2 linked regions of the Tamandua tetradactyla genome follow. The main gene of each other region encodes a partner of the protein of the gene in region 2 in a complex. Links are inferred from orthologs where the notes say so. Each region holds a gene or a part of one and is shown on either strand. Other genes may lie near its edges. The genes, in order: TRIB1 and COP1.

Evidence for each region.
Region 1: the proteins of COP1 (region 2) and TRIB1 are in contact, whole or in part, in a crystal structure (PDB 5IGQ), measured with the Homo sapiens proteins. The link is inferred for Tamandua tetradactyla from reciprocal best matches to the Homo sapiens genes COP1 and TRIB1. Residues at the interface, in NP_071902.2 of Homo sapiens: Ile423, Ser425, Val441, Lys472, Tyr491, Trp517, Asp534, Ala556, Asn557, Cys559, Ala576, Asp577, His578, Lys600, Ala601, Ser603, Thr618, Lys643, Asn644, Phe645, Phe699; in NP_079471.1 of Homo sapiens: Asp355, Gln356, Ile357, Val358, Pro359, Glu360, Tyr361.

What each region holds. Positions count from the first base shown.
Region 1 is NC_135332.1:170,013,699-170,023,648, reverse strand, and holds the start of TRIB1 (tribbles homolog 1), read right to left. Parts: upstream 3,686-9,950; 5' UTR 3,104-3,685; coding exon 2,744-3,103; intron 2,205-2,743; exon of another isoform or gene 2,171-2,204; intron 778-2,170; coding exon 485-777; intron 1-484. UniProt on the Homo sapiens protein: Adapter protein involved in protein degradation by interacting with COP1 ubiquitin ligase. The COP1-binding motif is masked by autoinhibitory interactions with the protein kinase domain.
Region 2 is NC_135330.1:30,140,171-30,149,993, forward strand, and holds the start of COP1 (E3 ubiquitin-protein ligase COP1), read right to left. Parts: upstream 4,358-9,823; 5' UTR 4,173-4,357; coding exon 3,754-4,172; intron 1-3,753. UniProt on the Homo sapiens protein: E3 ubiquitin-protein ligase that mediates ubiquitination and subsequent proteasomal degradation of target proteins.

The sequences.
Region 1 (9,950 bases), on a different chromosome or scaffold from region 2:
TGGAACAGGAATGCAGTGTGTAGAAGGGCAGCAGAGTTCTGCCGATACAAGAGTACAACTAGCTCTGCCATACCTTCTAGGTACAAAGAAACACTGGGAGAAGCCAAGATTTGAAAACTTCCTCTAGGAATCAACATTGTGAAGGCCAGGTTGACATTTGCTCCCCAGAAGAGGTGACCTTTCTGAGAACAATGAGGAATAAGCCTGACAATGAGGTAGGAGTTGGGGGCTGGGGGCGGGGTATGCTGGCATCACACGACATCCCACAGAAGCACCAAGGTATTGCCAAGGCCACATTAGAGAGAGCGCAAAATAAACCAACCTTTGCTGTGGTTCCTCAGGAGCAGAACTTCTAAATACTAAATCTGGGACAACTGAGCCCGTGGCTTTTGTTTTCAACCAACACAACTGACCCTAACTGGCTCAGCCTGCACCTTCCTTATCGTTCCAAAAGGCCACAGGAGGAGCTGTGGCAGCCGCTCACCTCTCCTCCGTGGAGAAGACGAATTTCCTAAGCTTCAGGTCCCCCAGGACGATGGCCGACTGGTGGCAGTGAGCAACGGCAGAGACAATCTGCTTGAAAAGTCGGGCGGCCTCCTCTTCCCGCAGCCTCTTCCGGCTTCGCACATAGGAGTGCATGTCCCCAAAGTCCTTCTCAAAGAAGACATAGGCCTTCGTTTCCCCAAGGATCACTTCTACGATGCCAGTGATGTTCCTGTGTGACGGCAGCTGGATGTAAGGCCTGATTTTGTCCTGGTAGTGTTTAATGGGAAACACCTGCAGAGAGAAGGCTGCTATTTAGGAGGCTAGAAAAACAGAGGCCACCTCCCAAATTCATGGCTGGGCTGAAATTCACAGCCTGCCTGCTTTGGTTGATAATAGTAGTATTCGATTCATTTATTCCCTTTCTCTGCCACCTCACCCTGTGCACCCCTAGTACCCCTAGCATCTAGGGCTCTGGGCTAGCAAATATTCAAAGGGTTACCCCGTCACAGACAGGTGCCTGTCTTCCATCAGAACTCAGCTCCTGAGCATACAGCACCAGAGCCCCCATCTTATGTGTTCCTTCCTTGTTTGCAGGCAATGCCACCACTGAGAATCTGTGTGCCTCCTGCAGACCAAAGGGTCAGCCCAGAGGGCACAAAAGTGGTGACTCTGCAGCCTCCCAGCGGAAGCAGGGGCCGGAGAACATGCAGAGCTGTCATTAGTCAGGAGGAACAGATGACTTGGGCAGAGACTGTGACAACGCAGCCTTAAGCCAACCGCCTGCATCCTGACTCAGGTATCAGCAGGCTGGAGTTAAAATTCTCACAGGGTATGGGATCCTCTGAATGGCTTTTTTTTCCCCCCCATCTGTTTCTGCCCTGCTCTCCCCACCCCATCCCCCAGGAAATGGGTAGTATCTCCTCTAAGAAGTCGGCTGGTCTCTTTAAGGCCTTTTGTTTGATCCGGTTACTCATATCCTAGACTCAACTGGAAACGGTGACACACGGGCTGTCACCATCTGGATTCAGCTATTATCTGCTCAGAGGAACTGGAAGGGGTTGCACAATGGCTAGACTCACCCCCCACCCCCTCTGGGGCCTGGCTGCTCTGGCACCAAGTGGATGAATCCCTCTGCTGCCCCCTCCTCGCACCCACCCACCCCTAAACGCACACATACTCTTCCCAAAACAGCCCTTAACCCAGCTACCCAGAAAAAAATTTTTTTGCCCTTTAAACTGGGCTGATCAGGCATTTGAAAGGTCATTCCTGGCGGGCAGTAGGTGGCAGCAGCAAGCCTGGGGGCTGGGGGCGTCAGGTGAGTTGAGAAAAACCCAGGAGCAAGTTTAACTGGGGGGTGGTGAGGGTGGTGACCAGGTCTTTTTCGTGAAAGGATCAGCCCGGAGGGTTCTCGGGGGGTGCCAGGGGGTGGGGTGCGGGTTCACAATGGGTGGCTTGCGGGAATGTTCTGCTTCTATGGGCACTGGAGGAGGAAGCGGCGGATCCTGTTTCTAGGAGTTCTATCTCCTCCTCCTGGATGGAATCCCTTCTATTCAAGCGAAAAGCGCTGGCCGGAAAATAAAGCCGGGAATGGTAGCGAGGGTTCCTCCTGGCCGCTGCGGGCTTCCCAAGATTGTCTACTCCGAGCCAACCACCCTTCCCGGCCGGAAGACCACCCCGCCCCCACCTCCAACAGCTCCCCTGGAAGGGCGGGGAGGGTCTCAGCGGTATACTCGTCCCAGCGCGGGTTCCAGCAGGAATCCCCGAGACAGGACACCGACACAGTCGTCCCACCCCTTTACCACCCACAGCTGAGTCCGGATGCCTTGAAACCCCGGCCAGAGTGCTGCCAGCTGCTCCAAGGAGGCACCCACGGCAGGGCCTCTTTCCAGGACCAGTGGGAGGCGGGGAGGGTGGGGGAAATGAGGGAAGGGGAATGGCATGGCCCTGGAATCCATTTCAATTCCACAACTTATATGGAACGCCACGCGCTAAGCTGCGCGCTAAGTAAAGGAATATAGAAATAAAGCAATTAACGACCACTTCCTCTTCGCCCCGAGCCCCCCTTATTATCACTCAATCGGAAACCCCTCGATTCCCAATAGGGCGAGCCGGGTCAGATCAGTCTTACAGGGACTCACCCCAGGTGTCCGCCCTACCCCAAACAAACCTGAGGCACCAAACGCCCGCGGACCCAACCCCAAGCACCTTCACCCTCCCCGTGGTCTCCCCGGATCCCTGCCGCCTCCCGGACGCCTACCTTGCAATGCAGCTCGCGGCCGGTGTGGATGCACAGCGCCCGGGACACATGCTCGCGCTCGGCCAGGGGCAGCAGCAGGTAGTCGGCGATGCGGCTGGGCCCCGGCGCGCTTCCGGAGCCACCGGCTCCCGGAGGGACCGGCGGGGGCTGCGGGCTGCAGGGCGAGCCCGGGGGGCTGAGGTAGTCCGGGGGGCTCGAGCATTCGGAGAGGCGTGGGCACTTGGCCACCACCACGGCCGCCGCGTCGTCTGCGTCCAGCAGGCGCTTGACCGGGGCGCCCCGGGCGGCGGGGAGTAGCAGGGCCGGGCTGCGGGGCTGCGAGGCGCCACTCATGGCAGAGCGCACCGGGCCGGCCCGCATCCCGTCCCGGGCCGGGGCGGCGCTGGTTTTGTATGTCCCGGGGTCCGCGCCGCAGGGCGCTGCGGGCTGGGCGCCGGCGCCGCGAGTTCTTCCAGCCGGCGGGACGGAGTCTGCAGCTCCGGTTGGGCTCGGTCCCCTCGGAGGGCAGACCAGGAGCCGCTGCCCGGCGCTCGCGTTGCACGCGGGGACCACGCTGGGCGCTTGCCCCGGGGGCGGGCACCGGCTCCCGGCGCCTCGCTGGGGACAGCCGCCGCTATTGTCGCCGCAGCTGCGGGTAGTCCCGGAGGGAGAAGGGGCGGCGGTGACCGCCGGCGCTCTCGGGATCCCGAGCGGTGAGGACAGGATTCGCAGGCTTGGCGGAGCCCCGGAGCAAATGCACTTCCCAGAACAAGAAGTCTCGCAGCAGAAGTCGAAGCAACTTTTCGATGGCGCTTCGGGTCCTACGCGCTCCTGAGCTCCCGGCGTGTGTATGAGCGAGCAAGACGCGCTCGGAGAGAGTGACTGAGTGTGAGTGAGTGTGTTCGCCGCACCGATCCCGGCCAGTGCACTCCTTCTCCTTTTCCTCCACCTCCTCCGCCTCCCGATGACTCACGCTGTATACACACACACTCACAGGCCGGGCTGTGTAAACAGTTGGGAAGCCGGGTTGTGCAATGAGGTGGCTGCGACGGCTCCGGCCCTGCCGCCCTACGAGCAGTCACCGGGGCGGAGGGGGGTTGGCTGATAGAGGGGGGGTTGGAACTGGGCCGGAGGGCTTGGGATGCTGCGCGCACCGCGCGCTGGGGCGCAGGTGGTGCATCCGGGGCCGGCTTGGGCGCGCGCACACGCCCCCCGGGCTAGGCTGGGCTGGGCAGGAGGCGGTGCGCGCCCTCCCGCAGGCCCCCGGCTCGGAGCTAGCAGCAGCAGGAGGAGGGGGCGGAGGAAAAGTTCCCGTGACGTCAGGGTCCCGGGGAAGTGGGCGGGAGGGGCGGGGCCACGGGTGAAGCGGCCCCTGATTGGTGCGCGTTCCCCATTCACACCGAGCACAATGGGCTGCGGCCGCGCGGCGGGCGCGCGAGTTCTCCTGGGCCCCGGCGGGAGGGCGCGTGCACCACGGTTTTCTGCACCCGCCGCTCTCCGCAGCCCTGCGGTCACGCTTTTCGCCCCGGGGATCCCCCACCGTCCCGCGCCTTGGGAGCCCCAGCTCGAGCCGTGGGCTGTAGCCGGAGGAAGGGAGGATAGGGAAGGTGATGAAATCCAGAATCAGTCATTCACTCCTACGCGGTAGTTCCGGGGAAGACCTGTGCGTGGTAGTGGATGTGGCTTTTTTTTTTTTTCCCTTTTCCTGCCTCCTCCCAGCACTAATCCCCAGCGTCTGTTCGCTTCCACAAATAGAACCTTCTGTTGGATGAAATAAAAGCAAACACTGGGCCTTCTGCGCTGCCTCCACCTCCACGCCCCTCCCGCGCCTGCCGCCCGCCGGGATTGCACGGAAATAGCTTCTCCAGGCTCCCGGGCCGCCCCTTCGCGGTGACTCGCTGAAAGAGCTTCCTGAGCCAGGGAAACAAAGGATGTGGGGAGCGGGCGGAAGGGGCCCACGTGGCTGCCGGATTCCTGCCCCTCCCCGGCCTCCACACGCGCCGCAGGATCTGGGGCCCCGGGGCCAGCCGCGGTCCCAGGGTGGGTGGGTAGGGTGGTGGAAGTCACAGCCGGCGAGACTGCCCGCCGCCGGGTACGCCCGCCACCCGTGCGCGTGCATTCGTGCAGCCTGGTTCCATTGAGCACCAAATGTGGGCCGGACCCTGCAAAAAACCCTATGGGAACAGTTTGGCATCTTATGTTCTTTCTTTTTTTTGAGAATCAGGTCAGCAGGCAGTTTCCCTGGACATCCACCTTAGATAACTATCATCAGAGAGTCCTTGTTCTCCTGCTAAATATGGCATTTTCTCAAATCAGGTCGAGCCCTATGTATAAATCCTTTGCTGAATTAATGCTCCATTCATTCAACAAATACTAATTAAGCATCTACTAAAGGCTAGTCTCTGGGGGTTAGAAGATGAAAATTCAAATAATAATAGCTAACATTAATGGAGGCCTAATATGTGCTGACACTATTCTAACTACTTTTCCTACAACTCTATTACTGCCATTTTACTAAGGAAGAATCTAAAGCATAGAAAGGATAAATTGCTTGCTGTGGTCACATAACCCATTAAGTGATGGAGGGCTACTGGGGACACAAAGGAGGAGAGATTGCAATTTAAAGGGAGGAAAACTGGGTGGGGGAGGGCTCTATCTAGAAGGTATTTGACCAGGGCCTTGCAGGGTGTGTGGAACTGTCACCGAGTTGGGCAGGGGGGTTGTATGAATGGTGGGTAGCCAGCCCTGGCAGAGATGTGGAGGAGGGCAGGGTTGGTCCAAGGAGAGTGTCAGATCGGGGTGACTGCAGTGGTGGCAGGGAGCTGAGTCCACAGAGGTCCTTTGTGCCAGAACTAAGCTCTGTAATTGTATGTATCCTACTCCAGGGCATGCACCTCCTGCCCTGCCCCTCCTCAGTGAAAAGGTCACCACCACCCAAGTACCCCACCCACCCTTGGGGCCAGAATCCCTGGCAATGAATTCTCCTTGACTCCTCCTTCTTCCTCAGCTCTCACGTCCACTGGTCACTGGGTGACCATCCTACACCTGTTTGCTCTTTCGGAGCCATGGCCTGCCCTCCCCTGCTCACCTGGGGCTGCGCCTTGCAGACTCTGCTTCCCTGGCTCCCGGCCCTGTTTGCCCAATGGGAAGCTCTGGAGAGACACTGGAAGGTGGGAGGAGAGTAGCCAGGCCCCCCTCCCCTTCTCTCTGTGTTGGGCCCCGGCTCCACCTCCTCTGTGGCTCCAGCCCCTGCCAGCAACCGCTCTGCCCCTGGGCTGCTGTGATGTGCTGCCCAGGCACCCCTTCAGGCAGAAGACTTTATTTCCTCAGCTGCTGGGAGTGCGTATCTGATCCCTTTTTGGAAACTGCCTTGACTGAGAAGACTGCCTTGCCCAGGGTCCTGCCCCCTGTCCAGAGGGTCCACATTTAATGGCTGGTCATCCCGGGAGTATAAAGGTCCTGCCTCCTTGCTCACACTTGGGACAGCTCCGAAGGGCACCCCAGCTTCTGAGCTCCCTCTGGGGTCACCCGAGGCCTTTGTTGAGATTGCATCACAGCCTGTTTTTTCCTTCTGCCCAATCCTGCTCCTTTCCTTCCCTTCCAAGAGTTTCGTAATGAATCATGAAGCCCCTGCACGCTAGTCTCCGTCGCAAAGGCTGTTGTTCCGTGGGAAAACTGATCCAGAATGCCCTCTCTTCACACACCCAGCTCCTCGCAGGGTTTCTGGTTCCTGGAACCAGGTGATAACACCACTTCTTGCCTCCTGCCCCCAGGTGGTAGCAGCTTCCCGATATTGCTCACTCCTGGGTTGCCCTCCTCACAGGCCCCCTCCCTGAACCACAGGGTTTTGTCTTGTTTCTGTTCTTTCAATACTTTTGTAACTAGTCCCCCACATTCAAGAGTTTTATTGAACTTTCTGGCCTCTGCTCCTTTTTCTTACAGAACCCTGAATGATGCAAATTCTGAACCTCTCCCTTCCTCTCCTCTCTCATAATTTTTGTTCAAGGTCTTCACCTGGATTTCTGCAGTAGACTTCTCTAACTCACTCATTCATTCCCTTAACAAACACTGAGCACCTGCTCTGTGCTAGTGCACCTACCAGGTGCTGGAGATGGAGTGGGGAATGAAACAAAGTGTCTCTTCTCCCCTCAATCCATTCCTCATGCAACTGTCAGAGCAATTTTCCTAAAATTCATATGTGATCATTTCAGGCCACTGACCTAAAAATCACTCAGGGGAAAAGTAAGCCCTTCTTCCTTGGCACCCCCCTTCCCTTCCCACTCCCAACTTTCTCCTCGCCTCGCCTCCACCCTACCTCTGCCAGCTCCTAAAAGGGGCCCAAAGTCACACCAATGTACACCTGTGCACTTCTACTGGTGCGCCTCTCTCCCTCTGGACTGCCCTTCCCTCCCCTCCCCCACCAAGGGCTGAACCCACTCATCCCTCAAAAGCGCTGTTACCTCCGGCAGAGGCTCTCCCGCAACCCCCCAGTCAGGTTTAAATGCCCTCCCAGGCCCTGCTGGGTCCTCCGTCCAGCTCTCCCCAAGGGCAGGGGCCGTATCTTATATGGCTGTGTATCTCCAGCCCCCAGCACCATGCCTGGTACAAAGGAAGAACTCAGTAAGTGCCACTGGTAAAAGAACTCAGAATGAGTGTGCTCAAGGGCAGAGGGTCAAGCAGAAGGAAAGCCGGCGACAAGAGACAGGGAGGGGGACAGGTATTCAGGCAAAGACAGGCAGCTGGAGAGTAGGGCTCAGGCTTCAGAGGCTGATGTTCATCCCCGGGAAACAGCGGGGTGTGGATCTTTGGGGAAAGCGGGGCTTAAGCCTTGGGGCTGCGGGAGAGTGGAACATGGACTCGTGGGGCTCTGAGATCAGGTCAGCCAAGGGATGAGTGAACCAACCAAAATGGTCTCAATTTTATCGCTGGGGCTTTCCCTGCTGGCAAAGTCTGGATTGAACTCCGTCGGACTTTTCAGATACTGACAAGAGGAAGCCAGTTGCCCTTTATGTGCCTCGGTTGCTTCACCTTTGAAGTGGGCATACTAAAAGACCCACTTTCCCTCCCCTACAAAGCTCTTATGAAAACAAGTGGGTAAAAATAAGTGAAAAGTACTTTTGATTTATACACCCATGCACAAAATGGAGACATTATCAGATATAGGTATGCCTTGATTTTGAACTATATTCATTTAGTCGACAAATGATTTATTAAAGGATTGCCACGTGCCAGGATTGTAAGGGGCCTTTACTATGAAAATCTACATTTACAAATACAAATATATATGGAAATAGGATATTAATTGGGAAGTAATTCTTCCCATGGCACGGGTTCCTTGCTTTATAAATGGTCTGCCAGGTGATTTCATTAGAAAGACCCTTTGGCACATTTAGAATGTAGCCTGGTAAATAAGATCTTGGAAATCCAGAATCCCCATCACACCTCATTGTGTGTGTGTGTGTGTGTGTGTGTGTGTCTGTGTGTGGGTACCCTGCATGGCCTCAGCACTATGCTGAGCTGACACTGAATGCTTAATACATGTTGAACTGGAAAATAAATTTGATTAATAGCTGACTTTTCAGGAACTCACATATTGCATAATGTGGAGAAACCTGTATTCATCTTTTTGGAGAAGTTTGATTCACTTTCATTCATGTCAAGGTAGATACCTGGAAACAACACATGCGTTCTACAAACTCTAAAATGCAGGGAAAGTTCTCATAACTACCTGTTTCCATCTCCCCGCTTCACAGTACATGAGGTTTTGCAGCCATACAAAAATGGGTATTTGTCGGGTACTTGATGCTTCCTGACCCTAAATTTTAAACAAACAAAAACAAAAAAAAGTCAGGTTACATCTAGGAAAGACAGTATTAGCATATAAAAGACAATGTCTCAAAAACTAGGAAATGAAATAAACATTTCTGGTATATGAGTTCCTGGTATATACCAGACCCCTTTCAAATTCTGTAATTTAATATTCAAAGCAATTTTACAAAATAGTTGTTATTATCAACATTTGTGCAGCTGCACAAATGGGCTCAGAGAGGTTGACTGGCTTATCTAAGGTCACACAGCTACGAGATGGCAAAATTAGGATTTGAACCCTGGTTACTGTCTCCAAGCCTCGCTCTTTCTACTTTATGCTCCACCTCAATCTCCCAATGAAGAGAAATTCCATTCAAAAAAAATTCTCTTCTTTTATTTTAAGGGAATGGGAAGCATTAGACACCTACAGGTGTGGGGACCTGAGCGAGACGGAGTCTTGTGGATGTGACTTGATTCCCCTTCTCTTCCAGCTTTGGCCACATGTGACCTCCAGGCATATTCACGACATCCCGGCTGACATATTCAAGCTCCATCTACAACCACTGCGTCCCAACAGTCACTGCTCCTGGGCCTTCCTGGAGCAGCCACGTCCCAGAGATGCAGACAGCGGTGGCAGCTGGTCACCTTGGGAAAATGGACCAGGGAAGAGACCCCTGATCCTGGAAGCAGATTCCAGGCCTTTAGGGCAGGGGATTCCAGGGCCCAGGACAGCTGGGATTTGGTCGAGAAGGGCAGGTGCAGGTTCTCTATAGGCATAGCCCCGTGCCCCTGCAACTCCTTACCCTGCAATGGAAGATGCAGTCAGAGGAGAGTCAGGCTGACCCCCCAACTTCCCAGGTCTAAGGGGCTGATCCCCCATGAAAGATTCCTGGTCACTGAACCAAGACCTCTCACCTCCCCTCGTGCCCACTGCTGCCTCTTTAAAATGTTTTCCATCTTGACCTGATCTGTAATTAGCACAGTCACTGCCCTTCCAGGAATGAACCCTCTTCAGGGAAGCTGAGCGAACAGAAATATAAACAACTACAGCCCAGTGCCTAGAAAAGGGAGAGAATAACTTGGCAGGGAGAGGAAGGAAGGTTACTTGTCACCTGGGTGGCCTGTCCGGTGTCCACATGCACTTGTCAGGGTGGCTGGACTGAGGCCAGGGACAGTGTGATGGGCTTCCTGAACCCAGCGACAGGCACAGCTCCATGCCTGCTTTGGATCAAATGATGATGTGCCTCACTCTCTCCCTTCCCACCCCCTCACTTTCTTTTGCATTATTTGCCACAACTTCTGTTATTTCTCTTCTAGCATCTGCTCAAAGACCAACTTCCCCACTACTTGGCTTAGAAATCCATGCCGCCCCATTCCCACCCCACTCAGCCCTCAGCTCCTGGATGCTCTCTATAATCAC
Region 2 (9,823 bases):
TTAGTTTTGCAGATTGAAGGAGGTTCTTGGCTAGTGTTACTAAAATAATAATGTAATGAATTCTAAAATTTATTTAAATGGCTGAATAAATTACATTTCTATATTTACAAGTTAGCAATAATCTAAAAAAATTCTTAAAGTTTTCACTTACACATTTCCTAAATGTCACAGGGGAAATTATATCCCATAATTCAGGGACTTTCAAAAAAATTTGACCCTGATAGTAAGAAATACTTTACACATCACATCCATACACAAATAACCAAAAATAAAAGTTTCATCAAACTTATCCTATTAACAGGTTCTATGATTTGTTCCATTTCATTTTTTAAGAGTTTGAAAAACATAGTTATAGGTGCAAGAACAGCCAACAGATTTCATTTTCAGTGCTAAATGTGATTAAAAGTAATGGATGCCTCGAGCACCATGCTGAGGATTGTGAGACAACTGAATTAAGGAGAATATTTGATATCTGCCATTATATTAAGAGATGGGAATAGTAACAATGATGCCAGGTTAGACATTATAATTACATGATTAAAAGTCTTTCTTTGCATTAAATCATGAGCTCCTTAAGGACAGAGTCTGTCTTAATAGTTTAACACAAGATGGGACTCACATAATAATTTGATCCTACCTACTTTTTATCAGACAGACGATTAAACTACTTTCTATCAGACAGATGATTAAGATTGTAACTTTCCAACAAGGGGCTTACTATCTACTTGAAAACAGATTACTTCAGCTGCAACTTTGAGAAACTAGGATTTCCAGACATCGAAATGGTATTCCAGGTAGTTAAAAAAACTAATAAAGAGGCAGTACCTACGAACAGAAATGAAATAAAGGAGTCAGAATAAAAGAATGGAGAAATCTTCCAAATATAAGACAGATACATAGTTTAGTTAAATGGACGATGCAAAAGAAATTTGTAAAATAAAAAGTAAAGAACACTTCTTTGAATGTAATGAATTGACCAGTGTCGAGCTAAATACTTCTCTCTCGTACCACAATCTCCACCTATAATTTACTGTTAAACTTATTTGTATGAAATGTAAAAGTACAAATTATCCCTAGAATTTTAATAATTTCTGCAATTAAACATAATTTTCAAATATGATATCAGTCAAGAGAAATCAATGTATATTACCGAAAATTATGTATTTGACTTAAAATCAATTGTTCCCAAGAGAGGAAGGAGGATATGCCATTATCACCTGGAGAGCTTTTGGAAACTACACTGCCCACTCTAGTCTGCAAACCTGGTATGTCCTCTTGGGATAAGTGGCAAGCAGCAGGGACAGTGGGAAGAAGTTGCTAAGGATAAAAACATTTATCTCAGGTCATTAAGAAACAGTTGCTTTCCTCTCATTTGCCCGATTTAAGAACCATCAGACTAACGATTTCATAAAAAGAAAGCACTAAGCTGAGAACTGGAAGATCCGAGTTCTCACTTTTGTCCCTTAGCTGTCTGATCTAAAACAGTTACTTAACTTGTCTGTGACTTAATGGGAATTTAATTAAATTCGTATTATGTTAAAATAGGAAGTGCTCTAAGAATAAAACGAGATGTGAGATACAAAAATATATGATAAATAAATAAGGAATAATCATCATTATTCAAACTTGGGCCTCATGTAGATATAAAACTAAGAGCAGGGCAGGCCATGGTGGCTCAGCAGGCAAGAATGCTTGCCTGCCATGCCAGAGGACCCGGGTTCGATTCCTGGTGCCTACCCATGTGAAAAAAAAAAAAAAAAAAAGCATAGAGCAATTTGGTTCATACTTCAACCCTTGGGCCTACCAGAGAGACAAGCTACCTACAGCCAATTAGAAACTAAAAGGATTTGCAAAGACTTGCCCAATCCATGTCCTCCTACCCAAAGGGTTTGGCCAAAATCAAAACTGGCTGGAGAAACTGAAAACAGATTCCATTAATTAATTCTTTCATTATTCAACTTCACCAGAAAAACAAATAATGGACTAATAAGCTCCCAGAAGTTGAAATATTCAGAATTTTTAACTGAAAAATCTCACTGATACTAGAATATAAAAGAAAACAGAACAATCTAAGGAATATGGCTAGGATTCGAGAGTGGATTAAAATTCTTAGAAGTAAGGTGATGACTATTAAAAATTTTAATAATCTTGCCCTTAAAAAATCAGTGCCAGCTGTTTCTATGTCCCCTGTCCTCACCAAATCTCTTTAAAATGGCCTAAAGTACATGCAACTCATATGGTGCCTGTCAATGAGTACTAAATAAATGTTTGTTGAATGAATGATTTCTTTATTTCTTACATCTTTTGTACTATTTTAGTATACATATACAGATGCTGGCATTTGTTTTCTTTAACCTGAAAAGTGAAGTGTAAATGGTAACTGAAATGACTAAATTCTGCAAACCCCCACTTTGTTATATTAGCTTCTACCTTATCATATGGCACTCTCTACTGGGCATGAGGGCAAACACCCAACCTTAAGCTGCTCAAACTATTTATAATCACAATTATAGACGAATTTCAATGAAAAAAATGAGTTAATTTTTAATCCAGAATAATTAAGACTAAAGCAGAAATATGAGTAGACACATTTTTTTCTGGAGGAGCTAAAACCTGAAAGTCTTACCAATAACTTCCCTTTAAGTTCCAATTCTAGCTCTATCACATATAATGACACCAACTCAAGATTATCTTTAACCCTGAAAAGTGAATCAACTTCTCCAATAGCACAAGCCAACTTCTTACATCACTAGTATCTTAAGCCTATCAACAATTTCCTCCAGAGGAAAAGGACAAAATCCTACCAGTTCTCAGCTATAAAACAATCCTCTCATAATCCTACCAATATCCAAAGCCCAATGAAAATCCCAAACCCTATCGCTAGACAACTCTAACTTAATACGGGTAATCTCTCTATGTCAAATATCATGACTTAATATCCCTGTGTATCATTCAAAATGCACAAAACATTGCGTTGTTTTTTTTATGACGACAAAGTCTCCAATATCTAGAGTTTCTCAAATTAGTAGTTCCTGTATTACACTGTGTTCTACAAGCATAGTACAGTTTGCCTGATACATTGATGGTACTTAATAAATACAGTTCCTCTTTCAAGACATTCAATTAAGAAGTTTTTTTTTTTTATGAACAGACTTTTCTGATTACAGTAGCCTCGAAAGCAGATTTAAAAGCAAGTGGTCTGCACTTGGAAATGTGAGAAGTTGTATCTAAACACACATACACATACGGTGGATATTTATATTCAATACTACTTCCCCTTAAAACAGCCTCAATCCCGTTTTTTTAGAGCTCCATGCACAATACTTCCAATAAGCAACTTCATACTTCCAAAACAGAATTCCATCCCTCTGTTCTGTACAAACTTAATTCACCTCAACAAGAAATAAAACTGATCTGGGGTACCTAATATACAAGTTGGCCAGAAAAAAGCAAGCTTCAACCTGCTTGCCCAATTTTATCCTTTTTTCTATCATTTATGTGACCCTCTATCTCTTCTCTCCCATTTATTTATTATTCCCTAAACTCCTTTCATTTCCTCCCTACCTGCACTTATCTTTTCATTACCCACCCTGCCTCAGGACCCCATCATCCCATTCCACCACCTACTGGCTCCCATCTCTCTGACACCACCATAAGAGCACCAGTATCCCAAGCTCTCAGGCAGGCCACCCTCTCACTGACCCCAACAGATACTCTTAAGGTAGCGAGGCAGGAATTACTCTTCAAACCCACCACACGAAGTCGTTGCTTTTGTCTTCGTAGGAGTTGATGAGCCCGTTGCAGAGTGGGGTGAGCAAAGGTCGCTTCCTGCTGCCGCTACCTAGGCTGGAGCTGCTCCCACCTACGCCGGCGCTGGGCCTGGCCGTGCAGCTGATCCGGGACAGGCCCGCGGACACCGCCCCGCCGCCGCTCCCGGCGCCGCTGCCCGACACGGCAGCCGCCACCAACACAGGCCGCACCGAGCCCCCGAGGCCGCCCGAGCCCGCGGCCTGGGCCGCCCCGCCGGACACTAGCGCCGCCGCCGACGCTGCCACGGAAGGGGGCGACGGGGAGGAGGATAAGGACGAGGAGGCGGAAGTCACCGAGGAGGCCGCGGAAGAGCCAGGGCTAGTCCCAGCGGAGCCCGACCCGGCCTGGCGGCTACCGGACATCGTGACTCCCTCTCCTCCGGGGTTCGGAGGAGAGGGACCCGGACCTCGACCGGCCGCCGCCTGCCCTCCGCTCAGCCTCAGTGCATCCTGAGGACGCGCGCACGCCGGGAGGTGGGGCTGTGGAACAATAAAGTTATTTTTTTAAGGCAACCACACAACAGCGTCCGATGGGAGGGGGCGGAGGAAACTAATGAAGGAGAGTAGAAACCACTACCGCTCTCGAGGCCGCCGCCGCCGCCGCCGCCGCCGCCGTGGTCGCAGCCGCAGCCAACCCCGGCGTGCCGTGAGCCGGCCGTGCGCGCGCGCGGACGGCGGAAGGGGCGGGAGCGGCGGGGAATACAACTTCACACAGTCCGAGCGACCCTCAGCGCGCACCAAAGCCTTGGGCGCTTAGCAATGGGAAAAATCCCTTGTCGAAAGCTGTTTTCGTGCCTGACATATTGGAGGGAAGGCGTCTTAATCCAGTGAAACTGCTGAGGAGAGTGAACAGATTAGTAAAGAGTGGCGAGGTAGTTTACAGGACCTGGGGACGACGGGGGCGCTATGGGTGACTGCGCACGCGCGCTTTGGGCGCAGACCCTTGCGGGTTTGCCCGGGTGTCCCAGCTCGGGACCAAGAAGAGTATAGCAGTCGTTAAGTCGCTGTACACGCATGCGTGGGAGCGAGCCGCATTCCTCCTGGGTGTGAACGATGCGGTCGCTGCCCTCTGCGACGCAGACGATGTGACTCAGTGGCGCCTTACCAGTTAGGGATGAAGGTGCTGTAAGCACACGGAAGGGAAACGTGAAGCGCGGAGCAGTGGAAAGATCAGTAAACTGAGACTCCAGGCCAACGGGCTCTGCTGTTAAGCTATTCGATGATGTTGTGAGAAAGTAAGATGAACTTAGTAAAAAGTGCTTCGTGAATTCCAAACCTTGTAGCAGTTACCAGTTTTACAGGTTCGACTGTGAGCTCACGCCTATATTTTGAAAAGTTGTTTACCAAGTTGAGTATAACAATTATGGGAAACGAACTATACTTAATCAGACAATAGATTATTCAGAACCTTGGTTTAATGTGGGCCTGATATAATTCTGGCACAGAACAGGGAAACCTGGCACCCGAAAATGTGCAATATCTTTTAGGTGTTGTGGAATATTGAAAATTGTTTGCAGACTTTTGCTTATCACTTTGAGAATGCCCAAAATTCTAGAGAATGTAAGTTAGAAACAACTGAACTGTGTGATTTTTAGTATCCTTTCCAACTCTATCATTCTATGACTCTTAGAGGAAAGAATCCCAGATTTAATTGTGTCGTGGGTGTTGAAGACACATACAGGAGAAACGACATACTTACCTGACTGTCTGTGGCCCGGGGGGCAGGATTAAGGACAAACCTGAATGAAGGTTCATCCAGCAACCCAAACCTCGCTGCCCAGCTGGGCAGTGATGGCAGACACCCTCTTCCAATTCAACCTTAAACTGCTCACTCATATTCCAAGATTCTTGGGTTTAGCTCAAGTTTCTGCTCAGAGTAATGGTATAGGAATTGCGTTATCAGTTTTCTAAGAACCATCCTTTTCATGCAAAAATATTGCAATCCCTTGTTTCAAATCACTTTCAAGACCCAACTGAAATGTGATGCCTTCCCTAACTCTCCTTGACAGATAATAGGGCCGTCCTTTTTGCTGCCAAGATGTTATGTTTGCACTTATTACATTGTATTTTAGTTGTTTATATGTGATTCTTCCCTACCATCTGCTTCAGTATTATACTACCAACATGGATCACAAAACATGGCCTGTGATGGGTGATTACTAAGTGTTGACTAACAAATGAGTAAATGTATCCATTTCATTTTTTTTTTTAATTATTTGTTCAATGTCTGTCTTACCAACTAAACTGAAGTTCCATGAAAGCAAAGATCAGCTTGGTCCTCGGTGGATATTCAATTAAGTATTTGATGATGGAATACATAAATGACTGAATATAATGAATTTGATGACTTTATTGAATGACATTAAGCATGGACGGGGCAAGGAAGAGACAACGAAGTGTATAAAACATTGTTCCAGCATTCAAGAAGCCTATGGAATAATTGAGGAAATAGAGAAATATACAAAAAAATAATAATAAGTAATGATACCAAAGACCACATGCTAAATGCTTAATGAGTAAAACAGAATAACTACCGGAACTGAAGCAAGAGCAAGTACTGAGGGACAGTCATTTTTGTTGGAGGAAGGAGTTAGGCCTTTAAAGAAAAGTCTGTTTTTTTAAAGCAAAAAAATAAGTAAAAATGCTATGTCAAGTATAGATATCTAGAATGTATTCAGGAGAAATTCATCTGGGAGGCCAGATTGGAAAAGGCCAGTATCCAGTTTGGAAAATATGCTTTAGTTAATTGGAAATAATGAAGGTACAAGTTGGGGGAAGAAAGTATTCAAAACGTTGTTTGAAGAATACTGAGCTATCAACAGATTAATCTTTCAGAAGAGGTGGGAAATTAAGAGCAAATAGACGAATCAGGAAAAATTACAGCAGGCCAGGCATACGTGATAAGAGACTTGGATGGTAGCAGGAAAGACAAGGAAATATTCTGGAAGAAAAAAAAACAAACTATGGAATCTATAGGACTAAGTTACTCTAAAACAATCTTTAAGATCCTCAAGGGCATGACTCTGTCTGTTTTATTCATCTCTGTGTTTCCCAGTGCTTAGGCACAGTACTCGATATGTTAAATAAAAATGATAGAGCATGAAGAGAAATGAATAATTCCAAAAATTACTCTGGGGATAGCAGTAGTACAATGACAGAAGTGGAGACTTCCAGTGGATAATTTAGTTGGAATGTGCTGATGAAAAACATTCAAGTAAGTATATTCAGGCAGTGACTGAAACTGCAGGGCTAAGGCACATGCAAGAAATACTTGGAAATTAGTAACGGAATGTAACCGAGAAATCAGGATTTAAGGGATGATTTTGATATAAATATTCCTTTTAGCTTTCTGATATTGGAATAGACAGGGAAATACCTGAAATCTCTGAATTGTAATCCAGCTGCCGTGATCTCTAGTAACGGTTGTATAGCCCTTATCTTCTCTCCCTGTGATTGTAAAAACTTTATGACTAACCTTCATCTGTACCTGGTTATCTAGTTTTTCAACTTCAGAGTCTTGGAATCACTAAAGACAGCCCCTTAATGTTTGTTAATGAAGTCTTGGGTCCGCCTGAAACTAAACCACCCCAAGTCCCAAATTATCTTGATGACTGAGACCAGATTTAACCTTAAGTGGGTCCATCTGACATGCACAGTAGCTTGGGCTTTAACCTACAAGTCACCCATACCTCATTCCGCCATTTTCCTTCATGTGTTCTGTGACTAAGCATGTAATCAATCTGCACATGCTCAATAATCACATCACCTCTAATTATATCATCTGGGGTCACTCTGCTCATTATCCTAAACCCTGGTTACTTTTTCTCTAACAAAACTACCCGAATTACTGCAGTTCTAGAAGACAAATGTTGGGTCATTAGGACATCTGCTCTCCTACTACGTGCCTAGTAATAAACTCTTTCTCTCTTTGAAACCCTGGTGTCTCAGGAACTGGTTATTGAGCACAGCAGGCAGAAGAATCCATGGCCTTTATCTGGTAACTGGAATAGTATACCAATCTTCAAATAGTTCATACTTGTTGAACATATTATTACTTCTGTGACTCTCTAACTTTGGTGCAGAGAAGAATTATGTAGCGAGTTTGTTAAAATTGCAGATTGCTGAACTCCACCCTAGAGATTTTGACTCTATAAACCTGAGATAGGGTCTACAAATATACATTTTTCCCAGCATCCAAGTGAATCTGATGCAGGTGACCAACCCTTTGAGAAACACTACTTTATTATGTGGGAGAGTTACAAGGAATATGTGAAGCAGTCTCTCTTCCTTATTCAAATGATAGAAAGTGATATGACCCCAGCTGAGTCCCCTAGGAAAAAAAATCAACACTGATTAGTATTTCCACTTTGAAACCTATCTTCAATAAAAATCTAAATCCTCAAAACTGAAGGGATGTAATGCAATGGAATTTCCCTTTTATACCAGATTAATGCAGAATATACCAGACTATATTCCGAAAACAGTTTCTACTGCAGAAGCTTCTGGGAAAGCAGAAGAGAAAAGAGGAAGCATAGCAAAAACAAACACAGAGAAGGAAGTCAGACAACTGAAAATAAGAGAAAAGAAATAGAGAACAGGAGGAGAGAAAACAATAAAAAATGTAAATAAGGATTAAGTAAAAAGCAAGGTTTAATAGTTAAAAGAACTCCATTGTATTTGACAGGAAAACGTCAGCAGTACCACAGCAACAGCAGGCGTAAATAATCGGGGGAGGGACAAAAGTTAAGGGAAGGTTTAGATTTCCTATTTGGTGAGGGTGTGTTAATTGGCTATCTTTCTCTGAGGAATAATGAAATTATCTAAAATTGAGAGTGTTGATACACTGTGGACTTTGAGCACTGTACATGATGCCTAATGAATGCAGGTGGTTGAAGGATGCAATGACAGAAGTAGATTAGCGAATGATGGTGTATACATATGATAGCATATTGTGCTGCTACAAAAGGGAACGAAGTTGTGAGGCATGCAACCATGTGGAACATTTGATGAGGCAAAATAAGCCAGAAATGAAAGAACAATTACTGTGTGGCCTCCTTTAGAAAATGCTTATAAGAAAACAGGGGCCTAAATAGTAAGCTCTAATGGCAGACACATTTAGTCTGGAGTGGTAATTATTATTTCTGGATTTTGAGAGGCTGTTTTATGTATCTATTACCTGGTATTTAGAGATAAAAACAAAGCCAGTCAGGTCCCGATTTAAGGTAATTCAGAATACAGGGATAAGGAAGACATTGTCTGTATTTTAGGACCACATCTACGCTTTGAGACCAAAGGGAGAAAGGCGTATTTTGTCTGGAACCTAAACTTTCTGTAGCACATAATCTAACTCAACCTGTCTGGATAGCTCATTCAGATAACTGAAATACAGGGAGACCAGAATAAGAATGAGGGCCTTTAATCCAGTATAGTTTAATGCAATGCTTGGATACATTGTAGAATATATTAAGCAGATAATCAAAAAGTATTGGCGAAGTCCCTTGAGGGATGGGAGAAGAACTATGGAATTATTAAACTTTACCATCAAGGAGTCCCCTGATACTAATCCTGTATCAAACATTAGGGACACCCAAATCAGTAGGCCAAGCCCTTGATCTGGAGGCTTACTGTTGCAAAGCTTATATAGGTAGCGGAGAAGCTTAGCCTACCTATAGGCATGCCTAAGAGTTATTTCTTAAGGACCTCTTTTGTTGCTCAAATGTGGCCTCACTCTCTAAGCCCAGCTATGCAAGTGAAATCATTGCCCTCCCTGCTATGTGGGACATGACATCCAGGGGTGAAAGTCTCCCGGGCAGCGTGGGAGATGACTCCCAAGGATGAATCTGGCCCTGGCACCGTGGACTCAACAATTCCATCCTGACCAAAAAGGGGAAGATAAATGTAACTAATAAAGTGTCAGTGGCTGAGAGAGTTCAAATAGAGCTGAGAGACTACTCTGGAGGTCAAGCTTATACAAGCTTCAGTTAGACATTGCTACCTACCATGACTTACCAAAC